Linked DNA regions of Saccharomyces cerevisiae S288C. Each later gene encodes a partner of the first gene's protein in a complex. Each region holds a gene or a part of one and is shown on either strand. Other genes may lie near its edges.

Region 1 (10,693 bases):
CCAAAATATGACCCAATACTCATTTGGTTATTTTTACCAAGTAATCGATCAGATAGCATTAATAGCGTGAATATTTGATGGAATAACATATTAGAAAAGCTTTAGCTGGCAATTCTTGTACTGTCTTTCGCCGAAACCTGTTTGATGACTACTTCATCAATTTTTTTTTTTTCTGCCGCATTCCAAAGGTCATAACTTTGCAAAAATAAAGGGTAAATGGTTAAAAATTGTTATCATAAATAAGGTGACCGGTTATATTGAGACCTTTCCTGGACAGTAACTAATACAGAAGCCATTGGTAATGCAATAATTTATTTGATCATGTGACTACGATCCGGGTGAGACTATTCAAAAAAGGAGTCAAGCATTGAAATAATTAATGACTAATCCGAAGTTAATTGTTAGGAGTCAATTGTTTTTTCCAATGAATGGAATCTGAGATGACTAAACTACCAATTTTCAATAGTTCATGGTATAGTGACGTAGTTAGTGCTTTTTTTTCTTGGATCTGTTGACTCACTTCAATTGATGTTTCTTACCCTGACATGACATACTTGATATTTTATCTCTCACGTTATATAACTTGAAAAGGATGCACACAGTTCTGTTCAATATACCCTCCAATATGTAAAAACAGTTTTTCCATTGATTACTCTTAATTTGTTTCCTGCTAAACCAGCAGTACGTGTGTGCCGTATATATTAAAATTACACTATGGTTTTTGATTTGAAAAGAATTGTTAGACCAAAAATTTATAACTTGGAACCTTATCGCTGTGCAAGAGATGATTTCACCGAGGGTATATTGCTAGACGCCAATGAAAATGCCCATGGACCTACTCCAGTTGAATTGAGCAAGACCAATTTACATCGTTACCCGGATCCTCACCAATTGGAATTCAAGACCGCAATGACGAAATACAGGAACAAAACAAGCAGTTATGCCAATGACCCAGAGGTAAAACCTTTAACTGCTGACAATCTGTGCCTAGGTGTGGGATCTGATGAGAGTATTGATGCTATTATTAGAGCATGCTGTGTTCCCGGGAAAGAAAAGATTCTGGTTCTTCCACCAACATATTCTATGTACTCTGTTTGTGCAAACATTAATGATATAGAAGTCGTCCAATGTCCTTTAACTGTTTCCGACGGTTCTTTTCAAATGGATACCGAAGCTGTATTAACCATTTTGAAAAACGACTCGCTAATTAAGTTGATGTTCGTTACTTCACCAGGTAATCCAACCGGAGCCAAAATTAAGACCAGTTTAATCGAAAAGGTCTTACAGAATTGGGACAATGGGTTAGTCGTTGTTGATGAAGCTTACGTAGATTTTTGTGGTGGCTCTACAGCTCCACTAGTCACCAAGTATCCTAACTTGGTTACTTTGCAAACTCTATCCAAGTCATTCGGTTTAGCCGGGATTAGGTTGGGTATGACATATGCAACAGCAGAGTTGGCCAGAATTTTAAATGCAATGAAGGCGCCTTATAATATTTCCTCCCTAGCCTCTGAATATGCACTAAAAGCTGTTCAAGACAGTAATCTAAAGAAGATGGAAGCCACTTCGAAAATAATCAATGAAGAGAAAATGCGCCTCTTAAAGGAATTAACTGCTTTGGATTACGTTGATGACCAATATGTTGGTGGATTAGATGCTAATTTTCTTTTAATACGGATCAACGGGGGTGACAATGTCTTGGCAAAGAAGTTATATTACCAATTGGCTACTCAATCTGGGGTTGTCGTCAGATTTAGAGGTAACGAATTAGGCTGTTCCGGATGTTTGAGAATTACCGTTGGAACCCATGAGGAGAACACACATTTGATAAAGTACTTCAAGGAGACGTTATATAAGCTGGCCAATGAATAAATAGATTAATTTAAACAGTATATGTACAGTTTTATATATATATATATATATATATACATATATAAAGAAACCTGTGCGTTTTTTGTATTTTCAAATACATTTAGTTTTGGCGCCACTTCTATAAAAGGTCTCATGATATTGTTACAATATCAATTTTTCTTCGTTTCTCATGCCCTGTTTCTATGATAGAGGATGAATTTATTATTAACGGCACTAACAACGTACATATAGCTAAATATCACTATTTTGCCATGTTCAAATTTTTGAAGAAATCACCAATTTGCTTTTTCGTATTCATGGCCAACCCAACTTCTACTACTTTAAATCCTTTCATGTCCTTTGTTATTGAAGAGGATGCATCGAACGACGAAGCCTTTTTACCTTTCTCCTCCAATTGTAACCTACTCACTTGCTCACGCAATAATTTGATTTCTTTTAGTAAACCGTCACGTGCAAGAGATTCTTTAGCTAGTTTTGCCACTAATGGATTATCGTCCAATCTCTTATTCTTTACAGTGAACAATTTTAAAATGTTCAGCAACTCTTCAGTATGATTAATTTTGGCGGACACATCGAATAGCTTTTGACGTAATGTCTTTTGCATTCTAAATTGATGCGTGCTGAGATCTTTAACGTATCCACTCGAAGCATCATCAAAATGCATTAAAAACAGATACTCCTCTTTTGCATTGGCTACATCTTCAGTTATTTGTGCAATATCTTTCCTGACATAATCTGTAACTTTTTCCTTCAGGTCTTGAATGTTAGCATTTGTTATTTGCATTTGTTCACACTTGATATTATTCTGAATATTTAATAGAATTTCAGCCTCTGGTATTCTCCAAGTATACAGATTATTGATAGACCGCACTGTACGCTTCACCAAAGGGATGCTCGATTGATCAGTAAAAAAAGTATCCATATTCCGGATGTTTTCCATCAGAACAGTAAACTCAGCTTCGACCGTCTGAAATGTACTCTCAATCAACCTTAACGTAGAATTTTGTGAAACGAAAGGAATATTTGATACTTTTGCACTTGTGTAATATTCTTTCAATTGCTTTGGTTTGCATTGCTCTGCTAAATAATTTTCGTCACCTTCAAATGTTTGAACAGAAAAATTACATGTTTCAACAGGCTCAGTTTGCAGACCATTGTCGACTGCTTCCTTCTTAACAGTTTGTGTACTGTTGTGTTTCACGGGTATGGCATCCGTTTGAACTTCATTTTCCTTGGAACTTTCTGAAAGGTCTGTCTGTATGCCAGATTCAGCATAATTGTCTTCTAATGAAGTTTGTACATCAAAATCAGCGGAAGCGCTCACTTCACGTGCTTTAAAAGCTTCTCCACCATGAGGTAGCTCATCAGTATTAATATCTTCCAGTTTATCGTAGGACTCAGATATACTTTCATCCCGGTCACTGTTGAGTGACATGTTATCATCTGATTCTTTAACTTCACTGCTTTGTCTACTGTCTTTTTCGCTCGCGTCCTCTTCTGAAGATTGGTGGTCTTCGAATTGCTTTATTGCCATATTTGAATCAAAATTCTCTTTTTCATTGTCTTTTTTCAATGCTATTCCATCTCCTTGGACACCATGATTTGGTTGACCGCTCCTTTCATTATTCTTCGAAGTTTCATTCATTTCTTTAGACTTGTTATCGTGATCAACCACAGCATGTTGACTATATTTTGGGTCTGTTTCGCTTTTTTCATGATTGTTCACGTCCTGTGACTTTGGAATTTCTTCGTTTGCTGTGGTATCAAAAGCACTTTCAGAAGTCCTTACAGATATTTCACTTCCTGATACATAACCATCTTTTGGGTCATCGTTATGATCCTTTTTAGAACTTTCTCCAGTTCTTTCTTCTTTCGCTGGTAGAAACGGATTCTCCACACTCTTCAAGGTTATGGGGCCCTTTTCACTAGTTTCTTTAGTATCAGCTTCTTCCATTGGTGAAACCGTAGATGTATTACTTTTATTCATTGTGGAGTTACCAAACGAAAAAGCAGGTGTTGTAGAGCTTGGTTTGGTAATATTTGTTGCAAATGCTGAAAACGGCGATTCGGATTTTGCTTTGACATGATTTCCAAATACAGGATTTTTTAAACCAGCCATGTCAATATTGGCACTTTTTTTTATAGTTTCAGTTAGCTTGCCTATGGGGGATTTTTGCGCTTCCTCCTCGACAACTTCACCATCTTCATCCGAGGGAGTTTCCGGTAATCTAGTAGAAGATGTTTGCTCAACCGTAGAATCTGTCAAATCATTACCGCTTACGTTGGGACCATTGCTTTCGTGTTCTTCATTATCGTCATTGATTTCACTGGTAGAGCCCTTACTTAAAGATCCATTTTCAGTATCATCTTTTGTGAAGGAACTGAATGGTGATTTGTTTCCTAACTGTGAAGAGAAAGGTGAAGCCTGAGTACCGAATTTAAAAGTTGTATCGGAACCAACAGATTCCAGAGCCTTTGAAAATCCAGATCCAAAGGAAGAACTCCCAAAATCAAAGGCATTGGTCTTTGGTTTCGTAGAGGTGTTAGGTTTCGTACCAAAAGGTGTCGAAGAAGAGTCTACATCACTCTTAGACTCATCTTCACTTTGATCGCCAGAAGATGGGAAAGGTGACGTTGAATCTACCTCCTTTGGGCTGTCAACTGTAGGTTTTGAAATAGTAAAGTTTGATCCGAAAAGTTCATTGTTGGCGGGTGCAAAAGATGATGAACCAAATGCAGCCTTTCCAAATATGGATCCAGAGTTAGTTTCGTTACTTGATGCAGTTCCGAATGCAGATGTACCAAAAGAGGGCTTACCAAAGGCAGATCCGGAAGCAGGCGGCTCAGCAGATGAATTTCCAGAGCCAAAGGAAGGAGTACCAAAAGAGGGCTTACCAAATGCAGATCCGGAGGCAGGCGGCTCAACAGATGAATTTCCAGAGCCAAAGGAAGGAGTACCAAAAGAGGGCTTACCAAAGGCAGATCCGGAGGCAGGCGATTCAACAGATGACTTTCCAGAGCCAAAGGAGGGAGCACCAAAAGATGGCTTGCCAAAGGCATATTCTGATGTTGACGGTTCTTTGGCAATAGCTCCGAACGCGGGTTTGCCGAATACTGGCTTAGCAGAAGCAGGATCTGTTGCGTCTTGTTCACTGGACGCTACACCAGTACTGGTAGATGAGACTGATGGCAAGTCAATTTTAAATGCGGATGATCCAAATGAGGGAGCACCAAAGGTTGAAGAACTTTGAGACTGCAGGCTATTGGCAGCGGCTGGTTGTGTTTTAAGAAAAGTGAAGCCTGATGTATTTGCTGATGTGAAAGGATTCTCTGATAAAGCCTTACTTGATTCATTATTTTTCTTTTTTTCTTCCTGCTCCTGTCCAGCAATAGGAATTTTTTCTGATGTAGGAGAGAGAGATTTCTCATGTTCTAAAGATTCCAGATTTATGCTATAATGGCCGCTTTTGATTGCTGCCACATGAAACAACCCGACTATCTGTAAGCTACCTTCGTTATTCAATATGTAAACGAGCGGCAATCGCTCTATCGTATCAACACCGGAACAAGGTTCTAGAATAGTGCCTGAAGTAACGACGTCAACTGCCACACCTATTGGATTTGTGTCCTTATCTGTTTCCTCACTGATGGGCAATACTGCTCGTTCAGAATCCTGGGAAGGTTCAATAACTTGTTTCGAGTCCCATATACTTACTTCACTTGAACATGATGATGCTAGCACATTTACGTTTGCATCAGGTTCAATTAAACCAGACAAGGTAACTTTGTACATATATGGGAACCTTACTATTTGCCCGAATGGAGGTGTAATATCAAAAGTTTCTTGAAATGAGGCGCTGCCGTCTATGTGCTTTATAATGTACATTTTTTGATCGTATGAAACTTCGTCATCGGTCTCTGATATAACATTACCGAAAACCGCCAAAAAATCCTGTGGAGAGAGAATGGTAACACTCAAAGGGGAATATTCTTCTACTGGAAGCTCTTCTAATTCTGACGGTAGAGAGAACTCAAATTGTTTTTCCATTTCGCCATTTCGCCATGCAAAACTTTGAAAACTTCTATCTTTTAGTAGAACTGCTAACTGCGAATTTGTGACATCAAAAGAGGTAACGTTTTGTGCCAGTTGCTTAGTCGATTTTGTTCTTAAATCCAGTGCTGATAAATCATTGACTGAATTTAAAATTACTAAAGTGTTATTAACGTTCTTCAATTGGAAAACTGGCTTCTCAAAAGAAGTGACCGTTCGAAATTCACTCAATTCCTCCAAGTCTAACGAATATAATGCATTTCTGGTTGAAACCAAAACCTGATCACCATGAAAGCACACAAATATTACATCTGGGATTTCTTTCTCCCACTTGAACGTTAACGGAGTAGAGTCGGAGGTGATATGATCTCTCAGTAATTGTAATTCGCCGACCACCGCCTTACTACCAGAGGCAGCAACGAATAAAGACTTACTGTTTGAAATATCGAGATTTTGTAGAGATGCAAATGGCAGTTTTTCATTGAAGGAAGGTAGAATTTGTTTTTGACCTAAAAACTTAAAACCGAAGTCTTCGGAAGTCTCAGTGGGTACTTCATCCTTCAAAGAAGACATGTTATAATGGTTCTGTAATCAATATATATATATTTATGTGCGTTTCTCTGCTAAAATTGCAATAATGAAATTAAACCTTCACGCAAAATCGTTATTGAAGTTGGAGAGGAGACAAATTAACCTGAGAAATATGAATTGGTGTGAAGCAGCGTATGTGTGACAGAACAAACAAGCCTAAACGCCGATGTCAAACACAATTTTTTCTCCAGTTTATGCGTGCAACTATCCTTCGGTCCTTTGTCTTTTTTTCTCTTTTGATCAAACAATTGAAAAAACACTGGTCGTAGGTCACGATAAAAGTTGCGATGTCCCCTCCCACCTAGTTTCCTAAATACTATTATATAATATTAACTAAACAAACGTCAGAAAAAAAAAAAACTCTATCAAAAGTACAAATCCTTATTTAGTAAAATTTATAAGAAAATAAAATCTCTCAGGGCGAGAACGATAGAGACCAGCCAAATTTGTGGACTGGTTCAGTCAGTTGTAGCGCATTGAAAGACATACCCACACCCAAAGAAATATCTTTATTCAAATTTCGCTTGTACGACAATGTAGTCAGGCCTGAATCTGCAATTTTTGCCTTAACTTGCGAAATAGAATCTGGTACGTATCTGGTAACAAATTCAATGTTCATATTAGAACTTGTCTTCGATTGTAAAGTGGCTTTAGTTCCCACTTGCAAATAGCGGTTAACGTTTTGAAAAAATGAAGCAGTTGCGCATTGCCTGTTGTTAGTAGACAAAATAAACGAATATTCTCTGGCAAGATACCCGATTGACATAGCATAGCGTGCACATAAACCCGCAGCTGTGTCATATGCGATGTCAGTGCCGCCAACAAACCCGCGGTGGCCCAAAGTAACACTTCCGACAAAGTCCTTAGGTTGCAAGATGTCTATAGAAGTTCTTGCTGCAAACGATTTTTGGGCGTAGCTCAAATTAAATTTGGCGTTCTTGATGGATTGGGGAGTCAAAAATGCGTTGACATCACCTTTCCAACCAGGTGCTATCTTGGAAAATTCGATTCTTGTATTTAACCTGTTCTGGTTCGACCAACTCTGAGATAGCGACACTCCCTCCTTCCTGTCATAAAACCGTCCTTCTACGCTAGTTTGGATGGGGCCTTCTGTCACGCCCTGCTTCGCCTTCAGAGTAAAATTCACACCATTTTCCGTGGTTGTTGAAATATTCAAAGAGAGGGGGTTGGTGTGAAAAAAGTCCCTATTGAATAGGCCATTGACATCTCTAGATATATCGTTGAAAAATCGTAGTGCCATCGTAGGTAATTTCTAACACTTTCCTCTTCATGCAATTCCTTCACTCGAGAATAAAACAGAAGAGCTCCATCTTCACTATTCTTTCTTTTCTTTTTGTTCCATTTCTGCAATTGGAAGCGAGAAAAAAGGAAAGGAATTGCTAAAGGCGCTTTCAATCATGTAAGACAAATTAGTATTTGGTTAAAAAATGCAGAAGCTCAGTCGCAGCATAGAAAAAGAACTAAACTTTTAAATGCTGAAAACTACGAACAGATTTTGCAGTGTGTCATTTCTGCGGAATCCGTTATTCGTCTCATTTGCTAGGCAGGGCGCACACTATTGGAATAGGAGATATCTTCCAGATAGAAAAGGGTTTTTGCGTCGTACGGCGCGGCCTTGGCAACTCCCCTTCTGGAACAGGCAACTTCCTAATTAGGTTGCCGCAGCGAATAACTTTAATCAGTTCTTATCCCCTTTATGGTATACTGGGTGATATAAAAGAACGAGTAAGACAAGATCAGCAACAAAGTTGAAGATAATCTATTATCTAAAATAACACATACGGCTGCGCACTTGTAGCCATAATCTCGCATGAACATATACACATCACCCACGCGAACACCGAACATCGCACCAAAGAGTGGCCAAAGACCATCTCTTCCTATGCTGGCCACAGATGAGAGGTCTACGGACAAAGAAAGCCCGAATGAAGACCGTGAATTCGTGCCTTGTTCGAGTTTGGACGTGCGCAGAATCTACCCAAAAGGCCCATTACTTGTTCTCCCGGAAAAGATCTACCTTTATTCAGAGCCCACGGTAAAAGAGCTTTTACCCTTTGATGTGGTCATCAACGTTGCTGAAGAGGCAAACGATTTACGAATGCAGGTTCCTGCTGTCGAGTACCATCACTACCGATGGGAACATGATTCGCAGATTGCGTTGGACTTGCCATCATTGACTAGCATCATACACGCAGCTACGACTAAGCGAGAGAAGATACTGATACATTGCCAATGTGGGCTGTCGAGATCCGCAACGCTGATTATTGCATATATAATGAAATATCATAACTTGAGTCTGAGGCACTCATATGATCTGTTGAAATCAAGGGCAGACAAGATAAACCCTTCCATAGGGCTTATTTTCCAGTTGATGGAATGGGAGGTTGCTCTTAACGCGAAGACTAACGTGCAAGCCAACAGTTATAGAAAAGTACCGTGAGAGAGAAAAAAAAAAAAGATATAGCATTCAATGAGGCTTTATTGAGGGGCACGATGCTCTTTTTTTCTTCTGTACTTTATAAATAATTCCGTATTTCTTCGCTTTGTTTCATGCTCTGTTCTGAGCTTTTAGTTTCTCTTATTGAGAGCCTTTTCCAAATCAAGGCTCAGGAAGTGACTCGTCCTTAGAAGAACAAGGTTTGGATTTGGTAGGGTTCTTGTACGAAGTTCTCAATATAATTTGCGCATTTACTGTACGGTTCATACTAGTTTATTCCGGGTAACAAGTTTTCTTGTGATGCTAAATCAATGTGTATATTGAGAAAACTATGTAGTAAGTTACACAAAGCAACAAAGGATATTATTATATGTGACAGAGAAGAATTGCTGTAGAGATTCATGACAATATGAATGAGACTACTACAAAACAGCCGCTAAAGAAAAGGTCCCTGAGCAGCTATCTTTCAAACGTGAGCACGAGACGGGAGGAGCTGGAAAAGATTTCTAAACAAGAAACATCCGAAGAGGAAGATACTGCCGGCAAGCATGAACAAAGGGAAACACTGTCGGAAGAAGTAAGTGATAAGTTTCCAGAAAATGTTGCATCGTTTCGCTCACAGACTACAAGCGTTCATCAAGCCACCCAAAATAACCTGAATGCAAAGGAATCCGAAGACCTGGCCCATAAGAATGATGCGAGTTCACACGAAGGAGAGGTTAATGGGGACAGCCGTCCGGACGATGTTCCTGAAACGAATGAAAAAATAAGCCAAGCAATACGAGCGAAAATTTCGTCATCATCATCATCACCCAATGTACGTAATGTTGATATCCAAAACCATCAACCTTTTTCGAGAGACCAACTTCGAGCGATGTTGAAAGAACCAAAAAGGAAAACTGTTGATGATTTCATAGAAGAAGAGGGTTTGGGAGCTGTTGAAGAAGAGGATTTAAGTGATGAGGTACTTGAAAAAAATACAACAGAACCAGAAAATGTGGAAAAAGATATAGAGTATAGCGACTCAGATAAGGACACAGACGATGTGGGAAGCGATGATCCCACGGCACCCAACTCACCAATAAAACTTGGTCGTCGCAAACTGGTTAGAGGTGACCAACTTGATGCAACAACAAGTTCCATGTTTAATAACGAATCAGATTCTGAATTATCAGATATCGATGATAGCAAGAATATTGCTTTATCCAGTAGCCTATTTAGAGGCGGTTCTTCACCTGTGAAAGAGACAAACAACAACCTTTCAAATATGAATTCTTCACCAGCACAAAATCCAAAAAGGGGTTCTGTCTCCAGGAGTAATGATAGTAACAAGAGTTCTCATATAGCTGTTTCCAAGCGCCCCAAACAGAAGAAGGGCATATATAGGGATTCTGGTGGTAGAACAAGACTACAGATTGCCTGTGACAAGGGCAAATATGATGTAGTCAAAAAGATGATTGAAGAAGGAGGTTACGATATTAATGACCAAGACAATGCTGGTAATACAGCATTGCATGAAGCGGCGTTGCAAGGTCATATTGAGATTGTGGAACTGTTGATAGAAAATGGTGCAGATGTAAATATCAAGTCTATTGAAATGTTCGGCGATACTCCCTTGATCGATGCTTCCGCCAATGGACACTTGGATGTTGTCAAGTATCTTCTTAAAAACGGTGCGGACCCAACTATACGTAACGCTAAAGGGTTAACTGCGTTTGAAT
Region 2 (3,905 bases), on another chromosome or scaffold:
CTTTCGTTCCAAACGATGGTTGTTTGAACTTTGTCGACGAAAATGATGAAGTCTTGCTAGCAGGTTTCGGTAGAAAGGGTAAAGCTAAGGGTGATATTCCAGGTGTTAGATTCAAGGTCGTTAAGGTCTCTGGTGTCTCCTTGTTGGCTTTGTGGAAAGAAAAGAAGGAAAAGCCAAGATCATAAGCACGAAAGTTATCCTCTCGAGGACTACATTGTTTTTGTACCTTAATGTATCTCTTTATTCTTCCAGAAAGTTCCTTCTAATTTCTTATTAGGAATGGGAGAGAATCACATCAATATTTTCTCTTTAATAGAATGTATAATTCAATAGAAAAAAACAACATAATTTGCACTTTATTTTGATGCTGAGAAAAGTTTTATAGTGAATGTCTGCTTCCCTTGGGTTGAAGTTCTGTTCATATACTAAGTTGGTTAATAATGCTATATATGTAATAGATCGATCTTTATACAATTCAGTCATTGATTTAAGTAACCTGATTACGTTTTATTTTTATATTTTTTTACAATTGCAGCATCTTTCTCTAAAACCTCATTTAAATATGTTATACCGCGTTGTTGATTCGTCAGAATTTCCACTATCTTATTAATACGATCATTAGATTCTTCACCGGTGCCTTTGGACATGCTGTCTTGGTTTTTTGTATCGTCGTTGAAAACCATTAATTTACTATCTAATTGACTAGAAATGTTTTTAGCACGTTCTTTTAAGATAGCCAAACGTGCCCAAAGTTCGTTAGTCTTACCTAAACCTGCAGGATCTTCGCTCCGCTGTAGTAAAGTTTGGAATTGCGACCACATTTTCTCTTCTGCAATACCCAATGGCAGTCCTCTATTTTTCAGGGTTGCCAATTGTGTGCCCAATTTTAAGATTCTTTTTTCAATTTCAACATTCCTTGATTGTGCCTTCAAAATTCTGGACGCAGTGTCCAATTCATGCTTTTGTTGCAATTGTGTGGATTTCTCTAAAATATGGTTCAAAATTATTCTAGCTTGGGCTACATTTTCAGTCTGTACTTGATTACGTTGATTCAAACCCTCAAATCCATATATTTGAATGGGAATTGTCTGAGGGGAAGGTTTCTTTTCCATTGCCTGATCCCACTCTTCTTGAAGTACATGTCCTGGTTTTGTATATAAAATGGCTTCCGTTTCGTTCACTTTATTGTACACGAAAGCCCTGAGTTTTGTTTTCGTTGTGTTTGGATCCCACGATTCTTTACATTTCAACACCTGTTCTTGAATTTGCTGCGGATAATTAGACAGCTGCTGTTGTTGAGCAATTGCTTGCGTTTGTTGCAACGGTACTTGAATTTGCTGCTGCTGCTGCTGCTGTAAATTAGATCCAGTTGAAGGCTTAGACCAAGCAAATGATGGTTGTGTGGATACCGTGTTTCCAAGTCCGGGCGCAGTGTTTGTTTGAGGCTGCTGGGATTGGCCAAAAAGGCCACCTCCCCCAAGGGTATTGTTATTCTGGGTGCCGCTTCCAAACAGGCCACCATTAGTTGTTGATCCTTGTGGCTTACTGCCAAATAGGCCTCCCGTAGTCGCTGTAGTATTCTGAGGCTTTGCACCAAAAAGTCCGCCTGCATTCATGTTAGATGTGTTTTGAGTGCTATTGCCGCCCATCAGTGAGCCAGTGGATCCTACTTTATTACCAAATAAACCCCCACTTGTGGTACTATTGTTTTGTGCACTGTTGCCGAAAAGACCTCCCGTTGTGGTAGTTGGCTTGTTTCCAAATAACCCACCTCCAATGGTGGATTGTTGAGGTTGTGCTGTTTGTTGCCCAAATAAACCTGTTCCAGTAGCTGTAGTTCCTGAAGCGGTAGTGCTTGAACTTCCTAGGCTGCCAAGAGCAGGCTTATTACCGAAAAGGCCTCCACCTGTACTACTTTGTTGGTTACTTCCAAAAGTATTTGTGGCCTGATTTGCACCAAACCCTCCGGTAGTAGCCGTCCCAGAATTTGGCTGGCTGCCCCCAAAACCAAATCCTGAAGCCGAAGGTTGAGTATTTGTATTGTTATTGTTTTGTCCAAATGAAAAACCGGTCGAACCAGCTGGTTTATTTCCGAACCCGTTATTACTACCGCTGAAACCAAACATGTGATCAATTGGTCAACAAGGTATGTCTTTTGTTACTAACGAGCGTTTCTGGAATAGTTTGAACGGGATAATCCTCGATTTAGTCTTTCAGTCCCTTTGGCAAAAAGTTGTTTACATCGACTTGGAGAGTTGGACTTTTGCTTTTACTCATTTCAAGAAACAAAATTTTTGAAAATAATCCATTTCGCGTACGTTCAAAATGATATAATTACACATTGGCAACAATTATTTAGATTATATCACGTAGCTATTGTACTATTTTCCTATGAGAGAACTGCTGTAGCCATGTGGGATGATCATGCGGGCAAAACTAAAATACTTATATCAGTCCACAATTGAAGTATGGAAAGTTTTCTCCCAACTATGCCGTTTTTATAATGGAGACTAATGTCAAAGATAGGTTTTGCAGGCTTGATGGGTTTTCAAGACACTTTTCGGTCAAGATTTTCAGTGAGATTTGAAATTCTTGCAGAAGGTCTTGATAGTCATTGCGCAGATGATGAATATATGGTGAATTGGAATCAGCACAAGACTCCAATATTCGACGAGATGCCGTAATCAACTTATACAACTGCTCAATCAGGCCAGAGCAAATTTCTTCTTCTAATGGTTCTATACCGCACATTTCATGGAGAGATTTACTCAATCTCTTTCCAAGTGAGAGCGCTTCTGTCAATTGTGAATGGTTACGCAGAGAGCCGTAAATCTCATCTAACTTCTTTAGGTATTCCAGGACATCCTTTATAATTTCTTGTGTATTGCTGATGTCATCCTTTATCAAATGATCTAATTGAGTCATAAATTTTTGAAGATCACTTTGTGTTTTCTCTAAATTTATTAGAGTTTCATTTTCTTCATCTGTATAGGTATTGGAAAAAGTCAGATAGTCGTCGTAGTTACTTCTTATTTGTTCTAATAATGTTTGTACCATTTTTTGTGAAAGTCCAGACAAATCTCTAATAAGGGAATCGAGAGGAAGGTAATGGAAATTTTTCTGCACTAGGAATCTGTCGACATCAAAGTTATCAACATCGGTCCCATTAGTCTCGGATTCACGATACTTCTCTATTTCTGTTGCGAATAACTCTTTCGATATTTCTGCGGTTACCGGTAAATCTAAGTCTAGTTCATCATCATTCAAAAAGTCCATTTCGCCCTGAGAGAAATTGCGACTATGACTGTTGACCATTCCCTTTTCATATTATTTATTATTCTATATTTTTTCTAAGCTTCATTTTCTTGTCCTGTTGAAAATTCCATGAAATCGAGGTAAAGGCCCGAGCAATAATAATTTTAATTTAAATAAGGCACCCTCATAAAAACGGTCTTACATCCCATTATACCTAAATACGTATTTTTTGGATCTAGAGTGTTAACTATTTCACGATTACCGGTTGGTGTACTCAAATAATTAAAATGTTGAGGACTAAGAGAGCCTATATTTTCTCGAGAACATAGTCAAAAAGACTCCATGGCCAAGTTGGTTAAGGCGTGCGACTGTTAATCGCAAGATCGTGAGTTCAACCCTCACTGGGGTCGTTTTTTGCTTGAAATGAGCAACATTGGAGGAAGATTTGTGAAATCCTCCAGTTTTCTTTTTTTCCTCTAGGTTTTAACGAATGTGATAAAAGATAACTAAATAGGAGGGTCATTAAAATGCTAGGTAACGTATAAACAATGCACATCTATACATATATGAAGGTTTGAATAAGGAATAAATAACACGTGCTCATAAAAAATCAAGAGAGCCAAGCTGGAAACAAAATCAATAAACCGTTT

What was found. The genes of interacting proteins can lie anywhere in the genome.
Region 2: NUP159 (region 1) and NUP57 share a complex: the UniProt entries of both Saccharomyces cerevisiae proteins name them as parts of the nuclear pore complex.

The regions. Positions count from the first base shown.
Region 1 is NC_001141.2:142,214-152,906, forward strand, and holds NUP159 (FG-nucleoporin NUP159), read right to left. Parts: upstream 6,497-10,693; coding exon 2,114-6,496; downstream 1-2,113. Other genes in the region: HIS5 (histidinol-phosphate transaminase), read left to right, coding at 715-1,872; putative porin POR2, read right to left, coding at 6,930-7,775; mitogen-activated protein kinase tyrosine protein phosphatase SDP1, read left to right, coding at 8,346-8,975; HOS4 (Hos4p), read left to right, coding at 9,382-10,693. UniProt on the Saccharomyces cerevisiae protein: Functions as a component of the nuclear pore complex (NPC).
Region 2 is NC_001139.9:727,546-731,450, forward strand, and holds NUP57 (FG-nucleoporin NUP57), read right to left. Parts: upstream 2,127-3,905; coding exon 501-2,126; downstream 1-500. Other genes in the region: 40S ribosomal protein uS12 RPS23A, read left to right, coding at 1-185; Golgi transport complex subunit COG2, read right to left, coding at 2,488-3,276; ammonium permease MEP1, read right to left, coding at 3,904-3,905. UniProt on the Saccharomyces cerevisiae protein: Functions as a component of the nuclear pore complex (NPC).